Linked DNA regions of Arabidopsis thaliana. The protein of the gene in region 1 interacts with the protein of each later gene in a pairwise test. Each region holds a gene or a part of one and is shown in the gene's direction. Other genes may lie near its edges.

Evidence for each region.
Region 2: the proteins of AT2G24700 (region 1) and AT4G01580 interact in a two-hybrid assay, tested with the Arabidopsis thaliana proteins (one large-scale study listed by BioGRID).
Region 3: the proteins of AT2G24700 (region 1) and LEP interact in a two-hybrid assay, tested with the Arabidopsis thaliana proteins (one large-scale study listed by BioGRID).

The regions. Positions count from the first base shown.
Region 1 is NC_003071.7:10,510,423-10,519,650, reverse strand, and holds AT2G24700 (Transcriptional factor B3 family protein), read left to right. Parts: upstream 1-4,239; 5' UTR 4,240-4,362; coding exon 4,363-4,440; intron 4,441-4,515; coding exon 4,516-4,795; intron 4,796-4,870; coding exon 4,871-5,007; intron 5,008-5,101; coding exon 5,102-5,369; intron 5,370-5,436; coding exon 5,437-5,546; intron 5,547-5,634; coding exon 5,635-5,899; intron 5,900-5,983; coding exon 5,984-6,270; intron 6,271-6,359; coding exon 6,360-6,602; 3' UTR 6,603-6,767; downstream 6,768-9,228. Other genes in the region: GLR2.3 (glutamate receptor 2.3), read left to right, coding at 93-1,417, 1,502-1,814, 1,910-2,316, 2,388-2,771; AT2G24696 (transcriptional factor B3 family protein), read left to right, coding at 8,749-8,821, 9,141-9,228.
Region 2 is NC_003075.7:682,627-689,348, forward strand, and holds AT4G01580 (AP2/B3-like transcriptional factor family protein), read left to right. Parts: upstream 1-3,043; 5' UTR 3,044-3,164; coding exon 3,165-3,296; intron 3,297-3,529; coding exon 3,530-3,908; intron 3,909-3,980; coding exon 3,981-4,042; 3' UTR 4,043-4,260; downstream 4,261-6,722. Other genes in the region: AT4G01590 (DNA-directed RNA polymerase III subunit), read right to left, coding at 6,451-6,470, 6,559-6,610, 6,716-6,722.
Region 3 is NC_003076.8:4,479,666-4,486,272, reverse strand, and holds LEP (Integrase-type DNA-binding superfamily protein), read left to right. Parts: upstream 1-3,025; 5' UTR 3,026-3,187; coding exon 3,188-3,823; 3' UTR 3,824-4,145; downstream 4,146-6,607. Other genes in the region: AT5G13920 (GRF zinc finger / Zinc knuckle protein), read left to right, coding at 1-342; AT5G13900 (Bifunctional inhibitor/lipid-transfer protein/seed storage 2S albumin superfamily protein), read left to right, coding at 4,397-4,721, 4,797-4,927; AT5G13890 (plant viral-response family protein (DUF716)), read left to right, coding at 5,401-6,333. UniProt on the Arabidopsis thaliana protein: Cell division-promoting factor involved in leaf blade differentiation, inflorescence branching, as well as in carpel and silique shape. Promotes the number of xylem cells.

The DNA.
Region 1 (9,228 bases):
CCAACTAAAAATGTTTCTACTTACTTCCAAAGATAGTTTTACTTCAAACAAAATAAATATGATTTTTTTTAATGTTTTTGGCATTGTCACAGCTCTTGACCTGATAAAGAACAAACAAGTGAAGGCTATTTTGGGGCCATGGACATCTATGCAAGCTCACTTCCTGATCGAGATTGGCCAAAAGTCCCGGGTTCCTATTGTTTCCTATTCTGCAACAAGCCCAATTCTTACTTCCCTTCGTAGTCCATACTTCTTACGTGCTACGTACGAAGACTCCTTTCAAGTTCAACCAATAAAAGCCATCATCAAATTGTTCGGATGGAGAGAAGTTGTGCCAGTTTACATTGACAACACCTTTGGTGAAGGTATAATGCCTCGTCTTACCGATGCTTTACAAGATATTAATGTCCGGATACCTTATAGATCCGTTATCGCTATCAATGCCACTGATCATGAAATCTCCGTGGAGCTTCTTAAGATGATGAACATGCCCACAAGAGTGTTCCTTGTCCACATGTACTATGATCTTGCCTCAAGATTCTTCATTAAAGCAAAAGAGCTTGGTTTGATGGAACCAGGATATGTCTGGATCCTTACCAATGGAGTTATCGATGACTTAAGTTTGATAAATGAGACGGCTGTTGAGGCTATGGAGGGGGTATTGGGTATTAAAACTTATATTCCAAAATCCCCAGATCTTGAGAAGTTTAGATCTCGATGGAGAAGTTTATTCCCACGGGTGGAGCTGAGTGTCTATGGTCTGTGGGCTTATGATGCTACCACCGCACTAGCGGTAGCCATTGAAGAAGCTGGAACAAATAACATGACTTTCAGTAAAGTGGTGGATACAGGGAGGAATGTTTCTGAACTTGAAGCTCTTGGTTTATCTCAGTTCGGTCCAAAGCTTCTCCAAACACTCTTAACAGTTCAGTTCAGAGGACTTGCAGGAGAGTTTCGTTTTTTCCGCGGGCAACTGCAACCATCGGTGTTTGAGATTGTCAATATAATCAATACCGGAGAAAAATCAATAGGATTTTGGAAGGAGGGAAATGGTCTTGTGAAGAAACTTGATCAGCAAGCAAGTAGCATAAGCGCTTTATCTACTTGGAAAGATCATCTTAAACACATTGTATGGCCTGGAGAGGCGGATTCTGTTCCGAAAGGATGGCAGATCCCGACTAAGGGGAAGAAGTTGCGTATTGGAGTTCCCAAAAGAACCGGCTACACTGATCTTGTGAAAGTCACAAGGGATCCTATTACCAATTCAACTGTAGTCACAGGTTTTTGCATAGATTTCTTTGAGGCTGTGATTCGAGAACTGCCTTATGACGTCTCATATGAGTTCATACCTTTCGAAAAACCCGACGGAAAAACAGCCGGTAATTACAACGACTTGGTCTACCAAGTGTACCTCGGGGTGAGTATGAGCACATACTAATCATTCATCAATATAGCATTTATAACTATACTAAGTGAACTCTTATTTGCTTCTCTGTCACAGAGATATGATGCGGTTGTGGGAGATACAACCATATTGGTGAACAGGTCTTCTTACGTCGACTTCACATTCCCATTTATTAAATCAGGTGTCGGATTGATCGTTGAAATGACAGACCCAGTAAAGAGAGACTATATACTTTTCATGAAACCTTTGTCATGGAAACTATGGTTGACTTCCTTTATCTCTTTCTTCCTTGTCGGTTGTACTGTATGGGTTCTCGAATATAAGCGTAATCCGGACTTTAGTGGACCGCCTAGATTCCAAGCTAGTACCATCTGTTGGTTTGCCTTCTCTACCATGGTTTTTGCTCCAAGTACATTTAATCTCCCCTCTCTACATGTCAGCATATATATGTTCCTATATATCATGCACCTTGCTTGATTCTTATTCTCGATTCCCTGTCTGCAGGAGAAAGAGTATTTAGCTTTTGGGCGAGGGCCCTGGTTATCGCATGGTACTTTCTCGTTCTCGTGTTAACCCAGAGTTACACAGCGAGTTTGGCATCGCTTTTGACATCACAGAAATTAAATCCAACAATAACCAGCATGAGTAGTTTGCTTGAAAAAGGAGAAACAGTGGGTTATCAGCGAACATCCTTCATCCTTGGAAAGCTTAAAGAAAGAGGTTTCCCGCAATCTAGCCTTGTGCCCTTTGATACTGCAGAAGAATGTGATGAGCTTCTAAGTAAAGGACCAAAAAAAGGTGGTGTCTCTGGAGCTTTCTTGGAAATACCTTACTTGAGACTCTTTCTTGGACAGTTTTGCAACACATACAAAATGGTTGAAGAACCCTTCAATGTTGATGGATTCGGCTTTGTAAGTTCCTATATCAAAACTTATGTGAAAATTGCATTAAATGGTGAGAGATCATAAGTCCTTTTTCGCAGGTTTTTCCAATCGGATCACCTCTAGTGGCCGATGTTTCAAGGGCCATCTTAAAAGTAGCAGAGTCTCCAAAGGCAATGGAGCTCGAGCGTGCATGGTTCAAGAAGAAAGAACAAAGCTGTCCTGATCCAATTACTAATCCAGATCCAAATCCCTCTTTCACCTCTAGGCAGCTTGACATAGACAGTTTCTTGTTTCTGTTTGTTGGCGTGTTACTTGTGTGTGTTATGGCACTCGGAAATTTCACATATTGTTTCCTAGCGAAAGACCAGGTTTCGTACCTCGATAAGGTAGAGATGAGTCCGTGTTCATCAAGTCAACAAATGCCTGTCAAGAGGAAGACACAATTAAATATGTCTCAAGTTCATGACCAAGACAGTCTTTAATTTAACAAAAAAACATATGCTATTATTATACCAAACTATTGTACTTTTTTTTTCTTTTGAATGAAGAATTGTACTTTATTTTGTAAATAAGGATTTTCAGAAACAAATGACCCATTTAAGAGAGACTATCAAAGTTACAATAGAGGTAGATTTTATTACGTGTTATGCAAGACATTAAACCTAATGCTATAAATTCTTATGTGCTAACGACTAGTAGCATATTAACTTATCTGGAATTAGGGTTATACTTTTTCTTTTTTGGGTTATACTTATATGCAGTTAATATAATCTAAAGAAATTTTCACGTTTATGCTGAAAAAAAGATGTGGTCTCAGCGCAAAGTGAGATGTGGATTTCATAGTTTGACAATTAAGACATTTTAACATAGAAGTAGAAAATAGAAAGAATAAATATTAGAAACGAAAATAATTTGGATAATTGTAGTAATAGTGTTAGTTTAACCACTTTTTAATATACTTAAATGCATTCAAATGCAAATCTATTATTGTAGTAGGACAAAACCAAGTACAGGTGAATAACTGGATATATTGGTTTATTAAGATACAATTGTGTTTGTCCTGCTCTGCTTTATATCCGTAACTCCTCTGTTCTTCCATTCAGACCCAATACATATTGGTTTTCACTGGAAAAGGAGACAATAGATGGAACTGTTCACAAACAAAAGAAAAGATGGATATTTTGGTGCGTTGCGCTTTGTACTTTGTAGTGATTAGTTTGGATTTTTTCTTTTTTTGCTTTGTGGGGAATAAAGAGATAGCCTAGATGCACGTGATACGTATTCCTACAGTGCTACTGAATACTGATGTACAAATAGTTCCCTCTCGTGATTTTTGTTTGTGGTTTCAAGAGAAATGTTGCTTACATTGAAGATTGAACACACTATTATTTTAAGCCTTTTTTGCGTGTACTTAAAATATTCTTTTACATTGTTAAAAATACAAAACGTTTTTCAGTTTTACAATAAACTCACTTTTTGAAAAATATAAACGTAAATGCAAACAAAGAATCGAATTCTTATTCTTTTTGACAAAAACGAATCCACAACGTAACTAACTAATTTACTGTCAAAACCATATGATATTTTGATAGCAAACATGAATGTTTTCACTTCCTAAGATTTAATTTCTTGTAAACTATTTTTACATTATTATGGTACCTACGTGTTGAATTAAGCATATTTAGTTTCAGATCTTTTTCTTCTTCTTTTTTTCTTTCTTTTGGTTAAAGACCAATGTCTTCTCAAGATTTATTTTTCTCGTTCATTGATATTTGCTAAGTTTATTTGATGAATATTTTCCATAACCAATCAGAGTCTTTATGTTCAATCCCAACACTATTCTCAGTCAAAACTTGTTTTTTTCGAAAACAATATATAGTCTTTGGAAAAAGCTGATAAAGGTCTTTTTTAACATTGCTTTATAGAAAAAGCTGAGAAAGTTTCTTTGACGTTTTGTATAGAAAGCTGAGAAAGGTTATTTTTTTACATTACAGAAGTAAGGGATACAAAGTTGTTAGTTCATCTTCTCTCCGCTCAGAAGAAGAAAAACTTAAAAAAATTCAACGTCTGAATATGGCTAATCCACTTCTCTATTCTCCGATCAACCCACAATTCTTCCAACCACTTCTTCCCGGTTTCACCAACCACCTGGTACTCTGTTTCTCTATACTCTCTCCGACCAGTTAAGTTACTTCTGTTTGTAACTCATCTAGCATGCTGTTTCAGGACATTCCTGTGGCGTTCTTCTTGAAGTACTTAGTGGGAACTAACGTAGGAAAAACGGCTGAGCTCAGATCAGATGCATCGGAGATGACATGGAAAGTGAAGATAGACGGCCGGAGACTCTCTAATGGTTGGGAAGATTTCACAATCGCACATGATCTCCGAGTTGGTGACATTGTTGTTTTCAGACAAGAAGGAGAGTTAGTGTTCCATGTCACAGCTTTAGGACCAAGTTGCTGTGAGATTCAATACGGAGAAGATACCCTTGAAGAGGATAAAATTGGTAACCTTAGTTTCATATTAAATATCATTAGCACATTTAGAATGAGTCTAAGAATATTACTTAATCTATCAACAGAGAAACTTTGTGGTACGGAGAATGTTTCAAGTAAGAAAAAGAGTCTAAAGAGAGAAGCTGAGTCTGCACCAGACAATTCACTAGATTCTTGTTTTGTGGCCACTGTCACGGGTTCGAATCTAAAGCGCGATACATTGGTATGTTACTTCCATATTACTCATTACAGTAATTTTTATGTTATTGTATATTCTTGATAACTCTATCTAACTTGGCTTGTGGCGGCATTTGCAGTATATTCCGAAAGAGTTTGCATTGTCAAATGGTCTGATGAACAAATATCAGATTGTGTTAATGAATGAAGAAGGAGAATCATGGAAGATAGACTTGAGACGCGAGGCATATAATTACGGCCGGTTTTACATGAGAAGAGGCTGGAGAAGTTTCTGTATTGCTAATGGGAAGAAACCTGGAGACGTTTTTGCATTCAAATTGGTCAAAAATGAAGAAACACCTATGATACAGTTGTTCCCTATGACCATTGAAGATTTAGACAAACTTCGTAAGTTAATTTTCATAATCCGTTGGTTATTGAGAAAAATCTCAATCAGATTCTATAATTGATACAGAGAGTCTTCCAAGACACAAGATTCGAAAAACAGAAGCAGCTCCTTCTTCACCGGACCTTTCTTCTTTTGTAGCCACTGTCACGGCTTCAAATCTAAGCCGAGATAGACTGGTTATGATACTCCTGACTTACATATATTGATTTTGATTTGACTGAGAGGTGTTTTAATGATATTCATGGTGACTGTACTTGACTGCAGTATCTTCCGAAGACGTTCATTATGTCAAATGGTTTGTTGAAGAAATTTCAGATGTGTCTAATGAATGAAGAGGGAGAATCATGGACGATAGATGTGAAACATGAGGCACATACAGGCCGGTTTTTAACGATAAGAGGTTGGAGAAGATTCTGTGTGGCTAATGGGAAGAAACCAGGAGACTTGCTCAAATTCAAATTAGTCCATAACGAAGAAACACCTGTGCTCCAGTTGTTACCCTTGAACAGTGAAGATCTACACAAACTTAGTAAGTTGTTTATGCTTTATTCTTTCAAGAAACAAAAATATTGAAATAAAATTGAATAACAAGAAGCACTTTCTTCCTCTGCAGATCCTAGCAATGACACAAGGCATGGACAGAGTTTAAAAGTTACCAAAAAAGAGTTTCTTGGCATGGAAGCCACAGAAAATGAGTTTCTTGGGGAAGAAGTTTACTGTAATGACTCCTTTAAAGCTAGCGAGAAAGATACTCTTCCTTTTGCTGAACCTATCAATGAAGATATAAGGCAAGGACAATGTTCACAAACTATTAAACAAGAATATGTTTCCACAGAAGAGAAAAACTCAACAAGCCAAAACCGATTTGTGACCTTAACACTTACACATTCAAGTAAACTTGTAAGTTTCACAAGAAAACTCTGTTTTTTTCTTGTTTTTTTTTTTCCACTTAATACTCTCGATATATAATCTGATGATGGTATCTACAGAATCTTCCGTTTGAATTCATGAAGCGGAATGGAATCAAAAAGGCGGGGAAGATAACGATGGTTGATAGATACGATGCAAAATGGCGTACTTCACTACTGATGGACAAGATCGGAACAATGAGTTTAGGAAGAGGTTCAAAAGGTTTCTGCGAGGTTAATGGTGTTGAGATGAATGAGTCGTTTATCTTGGAGTTGATTTGGGAAGACACAGTTCCTCTTCTTAAGTTTTGTTCCAAAGTTTGAGAACAATATTAAGAATGTCTAGGATCATCGCTCAAATAAACTTCTTTCCTTCTATGGTTTAATTTTCATGTTAAAAAATGCCGTTTAAATCATCATTAATTCAGATAATATTGGTTTACTAAACAAGAATCGTTAAAGATTTTATATAATTATTTTTGGGGGTCACTAAACATCTTGATTGTCGACACCAATCATAAACTTCATACTTCAGTATGTAGTAGAGATAGACTTCTAATTAAAGGGCTATCTGCTATACATGTAGCAAAAAATCAAAATTAACATCTTATACTGTATATCTTTTTTTATCATCATATATTTTTATCTTTATATTTTACTTTAAATGATGTGAAAATCATAGATAAAATATAGGAAAATGTAACTTATATTAAAGTGAAGAGTCATTTATATTAAAGTGAAGAGGAAGAAAACAGAAACAAGTTGTAAGATATTAAGCCATATATTGCAGAAACAAAAAATGGACAAAAATCCTTACTTATTTTACTATCAAATGATTTGATATTTCTTTGTATTTTGTTTAATGTGAAGAAAATCAAGGGAAAATCTCTCTCATTTATAGTAAAGTGAAGAGGAAAAAAACAGAAACAAATTGTAAGATATTATATCATAAATTGCAGACACAAAAATCCTTAATTATATTATTATCAAATGATTTGATCTTTCTTTGTATTTTATTTAATGTGAAGAAAATAAAGGGAAAATATAGGGAAAATCTCTCACATTTATAGTAAAGTGAAGAGGAAAAAAACAGAAACAAATTATAAGATATTATACCATAAACTGCCGACACAAAAACCGACAAAAATCCTTAATTATTTTATTATCAAATGATTTTATTTTATTTTAATGTGAAGAAAATAAAGATAAAATATAGGGAAAATATCTCTTGTTTTTCATATTAGAAAAATATATTTTAGAAATATGATGTAATGATATAAAAGAAAATCTAACAATAATGTATCATATATATATGGTATATTTCGGTTTGAAAAAATAACACATGTATAAAGAAAATTTTAATTTTCCGGGAAAATAGAGAAGAACGAGAAAGAGAGAAAGTTTGTTAAGCACTTTGCTCTCATACCATATTATTCATAATCAGAAAGTAAATTCTCATAATCGAATCATAATATTACAACTAGTATTTATAATACATGTGTATATAGCATTTTACTAAGCTAAAGGAGACTTAGTGTATTTCTATATACTTAGATGCTAATTTGAGAGGTCATGTTGTGGATTTTCATAGATTCTCATTAGATGAACCCTCAAAACTATTGTATAACATAACTATAATCGATGTAGAAAAAACAGAATCTATGACATACCACGAGAAGACCTACTTAAAAAAAATAAACGTTGAATGGAAAACTAATAAAAACTAGCTAGACCAATCTAAATTAAATTACAAACCCATATTTTATCTGACTTAACTTCTTAGCTTGTTAAAAACATTGTACGGGGGAACTTATCTAGTAAAAAAGAGTATTATCCATTAAATTAACTTCCTAAGAATAAAACCTTGACCATACCAAATTAAACTACAAACCCATGTCAACGATTATTATCCATCAAATTAACTTCTTAAGAATAAAAAGTTTTCTAAAAAACTCTTAGAAGCAAAAAAAACAAAAAAAAATAAATTTTACAAATCCAATAGCTTATCCGATTCAGCTTTTCAACCAATCTAAAAAGATATTAGTTTTGCGCGGGAGCTTAACCACTTAACAATAATCCGTCAATTTGGTTGAAATATTAATTTCTCTCATAAATAACCGTTAACAAATCATCTCATAAATTAAAGTTACATCTAGTAAAGAAAGGTGAATTTTAGAAGCCCCATAAAACAAAAAATTTAAAAAGTATAAGCAAAACCAAGGTTGGTCAAATTCCTTAACAAAATCATCAACTAGATTTAACTCATAATTATTTAGTCTACGTACGCGCCCATGTTTAAAAATTTCCCAAAAGTGCATGCTCTCTAAAAGGTAAAAGAAGATTCTTATCTGAACATTAGGTTTTTTTTCTTTGTTGGGTCTAAAATCATTTCGGACATTACACAGTTTCATCTCCGTCTCTTTTTCTCTCCGACCAGAATATCAAAATTAATTCTTCTCCACTGACAACGATGCTGTTCAACGTCAGCGCCTGTGACATCCGTGACAAACCCATGCCCAGCAACAATGATATCAACAAGATCGGTACGTTTTGTTCTGATGATTTTCGTTTTTAATCAACGAGCTATAGTCAGATCTGAGTTGAGAGAACAATCCTTTGAAGAAAGATTTCGAAAATCTGTACAAAAAAAAGCCTTGTTTGCATCTATATGAACGGAGATTTCTTACATGTTTTACACAAGTAAGAAGCATCAGCGTCTAAGGACAGAAGAAGGTCATGATGATCAAGACAAGACCGGTTTCATCATCACTTCCGTTCTATATTAGTTTGATGAGTTTTAAAAACATAAAGTTTTCGATCCGAAGATGGTTTTAACATGTGGGATTTGTTTATTTGACACAGATCAGCTTGAAAGAGTAAAAAAAGTGAGGAAGAACAGTTCACAATCCGAAGCTGGCTCTTCTTCATCTGGCAACTCTTCTTTTGTAGC
Region 2 (6,722 bases), on another chromosome or scaffold:
ATCAATAGAGGAAAAAAGAAAGAATCAGGAAAAATCTTTGACAGAGAAGAAGTTATTTATATATTAAATTATTTAAAAAAGCAAATTGAAAAAGAAAAAAAGTGAAGAAAATTTTATTTTATTTATTGTTGGGAAAAAAAAGAGGAATGTTTTAAAAATTAATAGTTGGTGTATGAGTAGGAGGAACAGTTGGTATAACGGCTAGCAACAAAAAAAACAGCGCGCATGCTTACGATTTTACAGTTGGCTTCCCACGTGTGAACATTAACTCAGAAAAGGAGAATAGCACTTTGTGTCGTTTATAGCTTTAGACGTATGAACGTCTTGCTGTTTTCAAAACCGCGTGAGATCCACACGGTGGAAAAAAAAAAAAGGAAATAGGTTTTGTAGCTCAATAGTCAATAATTATAGCCCAAAAAAGGAAAACTCACCAAAAACAGATATAAGAATTTTGAAATTCATTATCTTATTTTAGGTTATATAATATTGAAATGTAAGAAATATTAGGAAAAATTAAATTTTTTATATATCAAGTCCAAATGTCCAAAGCAGGTAAAGAAAAAGTAAATTGTATAAATATCTCCATATCCTACTATATTATTTGGGAAATACATTTTAAATGTAACCTTAATTTTTGTAATTAATTACATGACAATGCCATTAGAAAATTTAAATCAAAAACAAAATCTTTTAATGACATCATTAAGATTACCAAAATTATTTAACGACAATATTCATCTCTTAATTGTAGGGCTTATTGGATTTAAAGACGGGTCATCAAAGATTTCCTAAACTGAAGCAAAATATACCGAATATTCAAATATCTATCTGTTACCAAATTATAAACAAATAAGTTCGTAAAACAATTTAATATTTTATATACGAAATCAATTAAATCATAATCACAGAAAAATTAGCACAAAAAAAATATGGTACATTCGGGTCTATAGTATTTTTGCAAGACTTTTTTGGTGGATTTGGGTAAAAGTGCATTCCGGTCATATAGTACATTCTCCTATTAAATAAATATGGTGCATTTCTATGTTATTAGCTAAAATGTTTAGATTATAATTCAGAGTCATATCATAAATAAAATTAATATTAATAAAATAAATGGCTTTTTGGCAAGACGGATTTGGAGGGACGGGTTTTTGAATCAACATTAATAAAAAAGTAAAATCTAATTAATCCACCGTTTCAATACGGGTTAAATTTTTATTTTATTATTTTTTAAGACCACTAATATTAAACATATCAAATCATCCTAATTTAGAAAAGATTATATAAAACCAAAAATGTTACGTGGTATGTATAATGTTACTATATATAAAATTAAACTATAAAATATAAATGTATTAGAGAATGATACAATTTGCAAAACTTTTATATTTAATAAATAATTCTTAAATTTTTAAAATTACTACTTTAATTAAAAAATCACGGGACGGGTAAAGAAATTACAGAACGAGTTTTATTTTGGAATTGAGTTATATGGTGGATGTATTTGAATCAATATTTATAAAATTTTAAAATATTATTAATATGTTGTTTTAATAGGGTTAAAACTTCAGTTTTTTAATAATTGTCTAATGGATTTGTGGTATAGCGTTACTTAATAACAATTATAAACTGTAAAATATAAATATTTTATAAAAATAAATTTGCAAGTTTTAATATATATTACTTTTTAAAAATAAATCATCTCGCGGTATACCGCGGGTTAAAATCTAGTTCAGTGTTTATTAGGAATATGTGTTGTTAGTCTTTATTAGAAACTAGGCTTTGATTGTTATGACATGTAGCAACTAATTATACATTGGTTATTGATAAAAGCGAATTTAAATGCTATTTTTTAAAATTTATACTAGAGATTGATTTGCAAAAAACTAAAGATTTATTTTAATTAATATTTTTAATATTTGAACAACATATTAAAAGATATACTATATACCTATTTTTTTTTTTATCAAAAATTAAATTTTTGTTTTTAAGATGATCTATAAATATATGTTATTATTTTTTATGTATGATACACCTTATATTTGTTTTGTTAATATTGTTAGTTTTGTTTAGTTTTTAAAATCGTATAATTGTATTTTGATTGTTAATTATAAAATTTCTTCATAGTATATCATCTCATATTAATATCGATCCAAACTCATCCCACATTAAATCACATCCAGGGAAATTAAACATTTTTTGTCATTTTCTGATAGAGTTCAAATATTATTAATGTCTCAAACTTAAAAAAAAATTAATATCGATCCAAACTTTATAATTGTATTTTGATTATTATATTTGGATCTAACCTGTAGTATATCGTCCTATTAGTATATTTTAATTTCACCATATATATTTTTAAATATTTATAGTTATAAAGTTTAACTTTTAAAAGTCGTAAAATTTGTAATAATTAACTTTTAATAAAATCTTAATATTTATAATATTTTAAAAAATTATTGATTCAATTCTTTAAAATAAAGAACCAGAGTAAACGAGATAACACTTTTAATTTGGATGCTTTTTTTAACAGCCACAATAGTCCCATTATAAGCTTTTTGTTCCTTCGTATTCAAAATCAATTTGGTCTTTTTTATAATATGACTCTGAACCATAATCTAAATTTTTAAATAATATAGAATTTTTTATACATGTTTTTTTTATCAATTGAGTAATATATTTTTCTTTTAAAAATTTAAATTACATTATATGCAGTAAAAAAAAACTAATATTTTATTGAGTATATGTATTGTATATATAAAATCAAATAAATTAGATACAAAAATAAATGTAGAACAAAAAATTTTTAGATAAATTTTGTAAAGATTAAAAACTAAATACTATTTTAAGGTTTTTTTGTCTAAAATTCTTACAAAAATTATATATGTAAATAGAAGGTTGTATACCAAAAGGAAAAAAAAAACTTCAATAATGGTAAGACTTATCTTTTGACTTGAGAACTGTACAAAAAGAGTGTTGGAAAACTACATAAGAGTTAAAGTAACTCTGTCACACTCGTCAGATAAAAATCTTACTAACATAACGACAAGAAAACTTATCTGGCTTCTCGGTTTCTCTTTTACGCCTCTTTAACGAGTCTCCACTCATCACTCTCTACTCTCAATTTTCTCCTTCTCTTCTCTGTCTGAGCAAGGCAAACAAAAATGGTTATTACCCGAAACATGAAGGCCAGAGCCACCTCAGTCTCTCACCGCCAATCACAGCAAGATCCTGAGTCGCCGGTGAAGAAGTTCTTCAAGTTGGTCTTACCTTCAACGATGAAGGATAAGATGATGGTAATTACCTAATACTTTGAAAAAACTTGAAATAAAGTGTTTGCATGTGTGTTGTTATTCCTGTTTCAATATCTGCAGATTCACTAAACAGTGTCCATTTCTTTTGTTTTATCTTGGATTAGAGATCTAAAAGGGATACACTAATTTGATAATTTGTTCTTAAGAAATGTAGAGAATTTAAGATCTGACATTTTGTTACTTGTTTCTGAAAATCTATTTATGTTTTTGAGCAGAGGATTCCGCCAAGATTCGTAAAGCTACAAGGGTCTAAACTCTCAGAGGTTGTTACATTAGTGACTCCTGCGGGATATAAGCGTTCCATAAAGCTTAAACGGATCGGTGAAGAGATTTGGTTCCATGAGGGTTGGAGTGAGTTTGCAGAGGCTCATTCCATCGAGGAAGGCCACTTTCTCTTGTTCGAATACAAGAAGAATTCGAGTTTCCGTGTAATAATCTTCAATGCTTCGGCTTGCGAGACCAACTATCCTCTGGATGCAGTTCATATCATCGACAGCGACGATGATGTAATTGAAATTACAGGCAAAGAGTTTGATACAGAGCACAAATCCAAGAAGAGACCAAGAGACATCGAGTTTGACAAGATTCTACACGGTAAGAAGACTTTGTTCATAACAACGTTATGATTAAGAAGATTGGGATCTGAATATCTTTATCTGTGTGTAGATGTTGATGTGATGCAAGTGCTTAAAGAAGAAGAAGAAGACAAGAGAGTCCTCAGGGGATAACAGAGCTTTTAACAGAACCGAGACCTGCAAGTTTATTTGTTGTGTAATGTTAATTAATGACTTGATGAAACTAAATGAGTAGTGTTTTGAATCCTGACCTGTAACAAGCTATGTTAAACAAAAGAGTAACCAGCTCGTGTTTTGATTCTTCTTTCTTTCATCTCCTTCCTCAGCTTCTCTACCTTTTGATAAAGCGACATAATCTTCGCACTCAGAACCCGAAAGCTTCTCCTACTCTCGTTCTATCTCGAGAAGAGTCTTTCCGATGTCTTCACCCATTACAGTCTCTCCATAAATGCTGCAGGCATTGCAAAGACTTCTTAACAAGATAGCGTCAGGCTTTATAGGCATAGCTAATACAAACTCATAAGCCTTTTTGTATCTGCCCCGCTTTACCAAGAAGATCTACTACGCATCCATAGTGTTGGATAACCGGTGTGACACCAAATCTTGTCTTCATGCTCTTGAACAGTTCGATTCCTTCCTCTAACCTGAGTCTTACACGCCCCTCACTAAAGCACGTCCACCTGCCCCAATGGAATGATCCCGCAGAAGCAACGCGACTGTCACGACACGTCCCAATAAAACGGGCAGAGATATTTGCTATGCGGAAGTTTGCAAAGTTGCATCAGCCATCACCACACCACCAAAATAAATCACAACTTCATGTAACCTTACAAACTTTGTAATATTGTACAAAGAATATTGCTGGCCTTTTTAATTTTCACAGATCTTACTCTGCCTTTTTTCTTAAAGCCAATGGTTAAAACAGATTGAGTGGTTTAAGAAAACCAGACCACATTACATTAACCGGTCAGTCAATTAGGGAGGGTAAAATAGTCATTCACAACCCAACCCAAGAAAAGCCCTAGAAAACAGAGTGAATAAAAAGGGTTGCGCCACTCTTGTCTTCTTCGTAACTCATCTTCCTCATAAGTCTCTTTGTTAATCTCTATCGTTTTTGTTTTGTGTTTTGATATTTGGGGATAAAATCCGCCTCCTTGAGTAGCTTTATGAACCCTAAGTTATTTAGGCAATTTCATACTTATTGGCTTAGTTAGGAGGCGTAAATCAATTCTGATCATTCAATACTTTTCTGTATTGTTTTGATTCGTGGCTTCTTTGGTTTTTGTGGAGAAGCTTCTTTGTGTTTTCTTAATTCAAATCAAAGCTTCTTCCCCAAAAAGTTTCAGACAGAAGAATCTGTGTATAGAGTGATATGTATATGAATAGCCTCCGAATAACGGGAATGTGAAATATAGGAACACCTTCTTGTTCAGACAGAGGCTTATATCAAAATCCGAATCAGTTTTGGGTGTGAAAAAGCTCTCTCCTTTTTTGCCCTTCAATTCCAAATATCCTTCAATGGATAGATTCGAATATCTACTGAATTGTTCTTTCAAGTTTAGTTTTATTGTTTTTTGTTTTAATCTTCTGATTAGGCTCTAGTAGTTTTCTCTAGATTACTTTGATTTGGACAGGAATTAGGAGCCAATGTATATGTATCATTGTAATTAGGAACCAAGACACATTATTGTTTGCCAAAGCTTTCACTTGAATTAGCCAAATAGTTTCAAGAAACAAAATGTAGCAAAAGGAATGATGTTTAAGAGACGAAGATAATATAAAATGGGTTTGATTAGTAGTAACTGCACTATCAATTGATAAAACTCTTGTATAAGAAGATTCTGTGTACTTCTGTAAAAGTAAAAACATGAAGCCTCGTGGATATCATGGGATAACACAATAATAATAACAGGCTACAATAGAAGTTGGATTACATGAACACAGGAGGTAGTATCACAACAGTTAATAATATACACCTCAAAGATTCAACGAGATTGGTCAAGATCATCACAACAGTGAAAAATATACACAACTAAGTTTCAACAAGAATGGTGAAGATCGCTTGCTCAACACACGTAACCGAACAGCGTTACGTTCTTAACACATGATGAAAACTATGCAACAACGCTTCCAGAATGATTTTAATGGTTTCAGCTGGAATTAATGCAGCAATACAAGAAGTGTAAAGCATTGGGAGGACAAAGTTTGATTTGCTTTGTTAGCTTGAAGAATTTGTCTAAATTGAATATTAGTCGAATCAAATAGACATCTTGTGCGAAATGTACGACACTAAAGCTCAGTGGTTACTAACTTTATGGAAGATTAGTGAAATTCTTGAGTGAAGAACGTAAAGCTCTGTGATTTTCAACCAAACAGAAATTTGTACGCTTGAACATGAATTTCATATTCTTCAGTTCGAGGGGATGGTTCCAATATGATAAGAACCAAGGGAACAAAACAAATAAATGCCTTGAGAGTTTTTAAATAAAACTAAAGCTTGGGACAGGCTTAGCTTCTCTTGACTGCAAAACTTGATTGTTTTGGGAAAAAGGAGAAGCAGCTTAATACACCTCTTCAACTACTGGCAAGAAAAGAGAGAAACAAAGTTAGCTAGAATCATTTTTAAAGTTTAAAGGATGCAATCTTAGAATAAAGATGATGACTCTTACATCCATCATCCTCGTTATTATAATCGTCGTCATCATCATCAAAGTCTTGATTCTACAAAAAAACATTCAAGAACAAAGTTGTTAAGTAACTTGAGAAGAAGAAGAAGAATCACACAAGGTATCAATTCAAACATTAATCTGAAAAATAAGCAAAAACCTGATCA
Region 3 (6,607 bases), on another chromosome or scaffold:
TGCTTGCAGAACCTAATTGATCAGTACAACTCAGAGAAGCTTCAATTGGAGAGTATTTCAGGGAAACATGTACAAATGTTGAGTGAATTTATGGCTTCGTACAGGCGACTAAGGTTACTTCATGAGAAAACTAGTCATCTCAGGAAAACTTTACTTGAAACAGAGAAGGAGATGGTTTGTTGTGAAGCTGAGACATTAAAATTTGGAGCAAGTTGCAGGGAAGTGGCTGGAGAAATGGCTGAGTCTCAGAAGAGGATGCAGGAAACTGCAGATAAACTAGGAAAAGAAGTAGAAGTGTTTAAGCAAAATGAGTTTGTTGGTCTAAAGAGAAGAAGAACCTGAGCATTTGCATATTAGTGCCCTTGCAAGTGTTGGAAGGTAATTATCTTTTATTTTAACTCGGCAATTCCAACATTTTACACTTCTTCATCGGATAACGTGTATAGACTAGTTAGATTAATGGATTAATTGATAGGTGACTGCAAAGCTCGTGCCCCTAAATTTTCTCCCATGTCACCTTCAGGTTTAGATGAGCCAAAAGCAGACATACTTTGTTTTTAACTTTTGAATGTGGTTGAGAATTATGAATCTACTTAGTGCGCTCATCACATGGTCGTTTGATTAAAAGAGTAATTAGATTTAAGTAAGACAAAAGATGTTTGTGTTAGGCAATAATTAGAAAAAGGATTAATTATGTTAAGCGTCCAAGAAAATGCCTTTCCACGTTGGGCGCACATGCCTTCTCTTCTTTCTTCCCTTTTTTTTTCTTTCTAGTTTCTACTAAACTAACACAATTAGAGGCCCAAACCCTCAGATAATTGATCATCAAATTATTTGCATCAAGAATAGTTCGAGATGAGTTATAGAGAATTGCTAGTTTCGTCAATTTGAGACTCGGACCATAGAACAAAACATCCTTCCAATTTCCATAAAACTGATATAGTTAAGAATTGGGATATGCATGTGTTCACTTGTCAGCTTGTGTATATCTCCAGTTGTTCGAGGACGTTACATACAACGTTCGAGAATGGTATTGCAAATGCCGAAGTCACTTAAGAGTAGTGATGGTAGTGAAAAAGGCGGTGATCTGACTGGGAGGGCTTAATTAGGGCTCTTGACCTAAATCCTAATTAAGTAGGATTCGTATAAATATTTTGTCCATTGATACATTTTATATAGTTCTTACATGTACTAATATTCCACCGTAGACCATGAGAACGTAGTACTAATTAAGTAAAGAAACCTGTGGTCTGTGGATATCGGAGAATAATAAGAGGCGATAGAGAATAGAAGCGGAACGTAAATGTAAACAAGATTCAATGCATCAAGATTGGACTTTAGAATATAAAATTAAACGAGAAAAATGAGAGTTGGTCAAAAGTGAGGGAACATAAATTATAGGGCTTGTTTACTCCAATGAAATTAAGATTAAAGATAAAATTTCAAAAGCATAAAAGATTGCTCACATGCAACCCAAATTCCTTTGTTCTCAATAATGCATGTTTGTTTTAAAATAGTATATAGCAAATGAATATGAATGGAGTATTTTGGTCAGAATATATATAATTTGAGAAACTGAATTTAGGAAGAGACGATATCATATTCATAGCCAAGAGGACAAACACATAAATGATTAAATTATAAGGAAATAGATAGATGCCTTGGGATTAGAAAGTGGGAGATGAAAGAAAAAGGGTGTGGCAATATTCATTGAAGTTGCAGCCTATAAAATTGGGAGCACATGCACTACCCCTATATTGTTTTTGACTAATCTCTAATTAATTAACGCTAACACACATTGTGATTATTGTACATGTAGACAAATGGGACGTATATATTATAAAAGATTAAGAAATGATACGATCCACTATCACCGTCCATAACGTTGGTCGTGTAGCCAAACATAAACATAAATGGTCTTTGGTCTTCCTCTGACACAAAATAAGATCGTCTTAGAAAGGCTACCACTTGCTTCCTTAGATACTCATATCAAATATCATAATCTCTCTCTAATGCATGAGACTTCAACTCTTTTAATTTTGTGTTGGTCAAAAGTCAAAACCCTACTCTGACGTATTAGTAATACAAGATTAATACACATATAATGATATAATAGCTGCTTAAGTAATGACTTTCCTCCTCATAATTTAGTCGACTACCTTCCATCATGCGGCCATCATTGCACCCTTCTTTACCAATTATTAACTTTAACCAAAACACCAAACTCATTGTTTTTTTATGTGTTGTATGATTGATAAGACGGAAAGTGTTTGCGTTTTCATATATGCAATAATCAGGGTTTGCTTCTCTTTTTCATGTTAAATTCGCAGTTCATGCACATTCCATCATTCAATATGGACCATCACATGCAGTAGTATTTGGACGCGTTATACCAAATATATTCTCTGAATTGAATAGTTTATCTATTACGTTATCTCTCGTTAATTTGTTAATCAATTCGGACATGTTATTATTATTAGACTCGGGACACTGGTATCTAAGGTAACATGCTAATCATGGCTCTTATCATTCCTAATCCCTTTGTTTCAGCTTATTATTGTTGATGAATGATGATTATGTGTATCTATCGATATTTATATATAATATGCTAACGGATTGTATTTGTTTAAGTTATTTTTGATAATGATCCTAATTTCTTTGTTATTCTTTCACTCTCTTCTCTAATATATACATCACCTAACAAAAAGAAGCTCTTATGTATTACTATTGTAATTGATTGAGTTGATATATTAGCACTTGTATGATTAAAGGCAGTCGGAACTCAGCATTATATTTTAGCAGAATTAACCATGTATAAAAATGAAATCACTAGTGTAGAACAACCTTGAGAAATGCATGAAACATGCTATCAAGTGGTAACTTAATCATAATTATATACTTTTGATTGACTGATAATTGATATATCATGGGCCACAATTAACTCAACACAGAGCCATTTTTAAATGTTGTTTCAATTGGAATAAAAAGATATATAAAAGAATTATACACAATGAAAAAAGAGAGAGAAAAAGGAAAGGTATAGCTCTTATATAAAAGGGTTGTGGTAAGGGATACTTTTCCAAGACCAACACACATTCCCTCTCTTCCTTCAACTAGAAAAAAGATAGATATATCGGACATTTATTGATCTGTGTATGCATAAAGGTATAGTATCATTATTAGAAAGATGAACACAACATCATCAAAGAGCAAGAAGAAGCAAGACGATCAGGTTGGTACAAGGTTTCTTGGGGTGAGAAGAAGGCCTTGGGGAAGATACGCAGCTGAGATTAGAGACCCAACTACGAAGGAGCGTCACTGGCTTGGCACTTTCGATACGGCGGAAGAAGCTGCCTTGGCCTACGATAGAGCTGCTCGGTCCATGCGTGGCACACGTGCCAGAACCAACTTTGTTTACTCAGACATGCCTCCTTCCTCATCCGTCACCTCCATTGTTTCTCCTGACGATCCTCCTCCTCCTCCACCTCCTCCTGCTCCTCCTAGCAATGATCCTGTCGATTACATGATGATGTTTAACCAATACTCATCCACTGACTCGCCAATGCTTCAGCCTCATTGTGATCAAGTGGACAGTTACATGTTTGGTGGCTCTCAATCTTCGAATTCTTATTGCTATTCTAATGACAGTAGTAATGAGCTGCCTCCTCTCCCGAGCGACTTGTCGAATTCGTGTTATAGCCAACCACAGTGGACCTGGACCGGTGACGACTACTCGTCTGAGTACGTACATAGTCCAATGTTCAGCAGAATGCCTCCGGTTTCTGACTCTTTCCCTCAAGGTTTCAACTACTTTGGCTCCTAATTCTTTCTCATCGTCCATATTTAATACCTTCCTCATTTGTACCTTTTCCTTCTTCTTCTTTTTTGGGTTTATCTATGTTTCGCCGTCCTTGATCTCTGCCTATGTGATCAAAGTGACTGTTTGTCATTAGTTTTTCAATAACAAGTTATCATTTGTATCTTGATTAATGAAAACAAGAAACTGCTCTTGTGTTACTTTCAAATACATATTTAATATATATGGGCCTTGGACATCAAAAGCCCATTATTCGATGGGTTATTAGTTGGCATGACATACTTTGTATAGCCCAAACCTCTGTGTGTTTTTCTTATGGTTGAACGAGAACTATATTCTAGGATGGAATAACAATTTGTTATTCTACTTCTGTGGTTTTGGTATTTGCTTACGTAATGTAAAATTATTTCATATTTGATGGGTTCTTCTGGTAACTTACCTGTTGAGGATGGTCAAACGGTGGTAGTAGGTTTGACTGGTGAACCATGTCTACCTATCTTAAAAGCTGGTCACCAAACATAAAAATTAAACAAGTACAAAAGTGTTTTAGTAACACTCAAAATAGTAAACTAAGGTGATATGATGATGGGGATGAAGTTTTTCTCTTTTTACGTTGTACTTCTTCTAGTTGCAGCTAGCTCGGGGATGCGGATAAATGGGCAGAGCGTTTCGTGTCTAAACCAACTTGCTCCATGCCTAAATTACCTGAATGGGACCAAGGAAGTACCTCAAGTTTGTTGTAATCCTCTCAAATCAGTGATAAGGAACAATCCAGAGTGCTTGTGCCGTATGATTAGTAACCGTTGGAGTTCTCAAGCCGAGCGAGCTGGCATCGATGTCAATGATGCTCAAATGTTGCCTGCTCGATGTGGAGAACATGTCAATCCCATTGCTTGCTTGACTCGTACACACTCAAACCTTAGTTCTTTCTTTTTTTTTCAATCAAAAGATGTTTCATGAATATTTTGTGTTCTTGCAGGTTCTAGAGGAGGATCTACAAACTCAGACCGAAGTTCCTCCATTGGCAACACCTTTTCTCAGTCCTATTGGATGACAACATTAGCTATTGCAGCCACTGTTTTGTCATATTGCCATCACATAATTAGCTGAATCTCTCATTGTCTATAGCAGCTTTGCTTTGCTTTGCTTAATTAAGACGGTTGATTCTTTGTTTTTTTAATGCTCTATTAGTTAATTATGATTATTGGTCGTCACCAACACATTGTATGTACCACTTCGTCCCCATAAATAGTCTAAATCCATTTCTATTAGTTAAGAATGTGAAACATCATGCTCATGTAGTCATGTTGCAACAAATCAAGCACCAATCAATCTCTTCCTGACAAATACAATATTGAATTACCAACTACCGGGAAAATCCATTATAAAACCGGTTTAAATAGTGCAATTAATTGTCAAATAACCGAAAAAGTCAGCTGGTTTAACAATACTAACCGGTCAACTTAAAGGAGCAGTTGACCAGATCGTCCTCTCTATTACCTCTCTTAAGCAGATCGGAGAAAGTTTATCAGTCATACAAATCCCGACCAACAACAACAAAACCCTAAAATCAAGCTTCGAAAATGGGAGAGATGATGTACAAGCTCTTCGCTTCAGCGTCACTACTAACCCTAGGATTGTATCATCTCATCTGCACTTTCTTCCATCTCCTTAAATCTCCCCAATCCTACGCCGCGAAACCCTTTTACCCTTTTCCACGTCTCTCCTCCGTCACCGGAAACAACCACCACAATCACAACCGCCTCCAAAATCTACCACTGTTCATCCTCATACTCTCTCTATTCGTCGCTTTCCTTCACGAAACCCTAATCTCCTTCTACTCCGATCCTCTCGTCAAAGGAAGTACTCCTGTTCACCGATTCTCATCTCTCAATTCCGCCGCCGTGTTCTTCCTCTTCCTCATCATCGCCATTTACTATCTCCTCTCCGATTCAACCTCGTTAATCCCTCTCCCTTCCGATCTCCTCTTCGCACTCGCCTCCGTTGGTTTCTTCCTCCATTACTCCGCCGCGTCTTCATCAGCTGCAATTCAAACATCTGATCTTCAAGCTCATTGTGATTCCCTCTCTGCTCGTATCTCCGCGTTATGCTCTCTCCTCTGTTTGCTTCTCGCTTGCCGTTCAAGACTCTTTATTGCTGACGCTGCTCTCGCTGCTGCCATTTGTCTTCAAGGTCTCTGGCAGCTTCAGACTGGACTCTCTCTCTACGTTGATGGGTTTATTCCTGAGGGATGTCATCGTCTTCTTGATGTTCAAAGCGGTGTTGAAGGATCAACCCAATGTGATATTCAGGACTCTAAGCTAAGAGCTGTTTCTATATTGGATCTAATGTTCACTGTACACGTCGTGCTTGTGGTTATCCTCATCTTTGTGACTTACACGATGGTGGTGATGGCGGCCGGAGTGAGAAGAACTGGTTCTTATGAAGCTTTGCCGACTAACAATGCTGATTCTAATCACATTCAGATGAAGTCGTTGACAGGCACTCAGGCTTGAAACCTTATCAAATCCTATCGCTTTGCCTTTTTTGTAAGCTCTCAGTCACTCTTTTGGAACTTGTTGCTGCTTTGACAAGTCTTTATCCCATTTTGTTTGTTCAATATATAATGTTCAATCCTCGTATAGATGAAAGATGGTGATGACTTGCTTAATAGAAGAATGATGGTATAGTCCTTGTTGATTGAGAATAGCATGGTTAATTGTCACTTTAGCTGATGTTTATGTTCCATTTGGTTTCTGGAAATGTTGTTTCCATCATGTTACATTTATA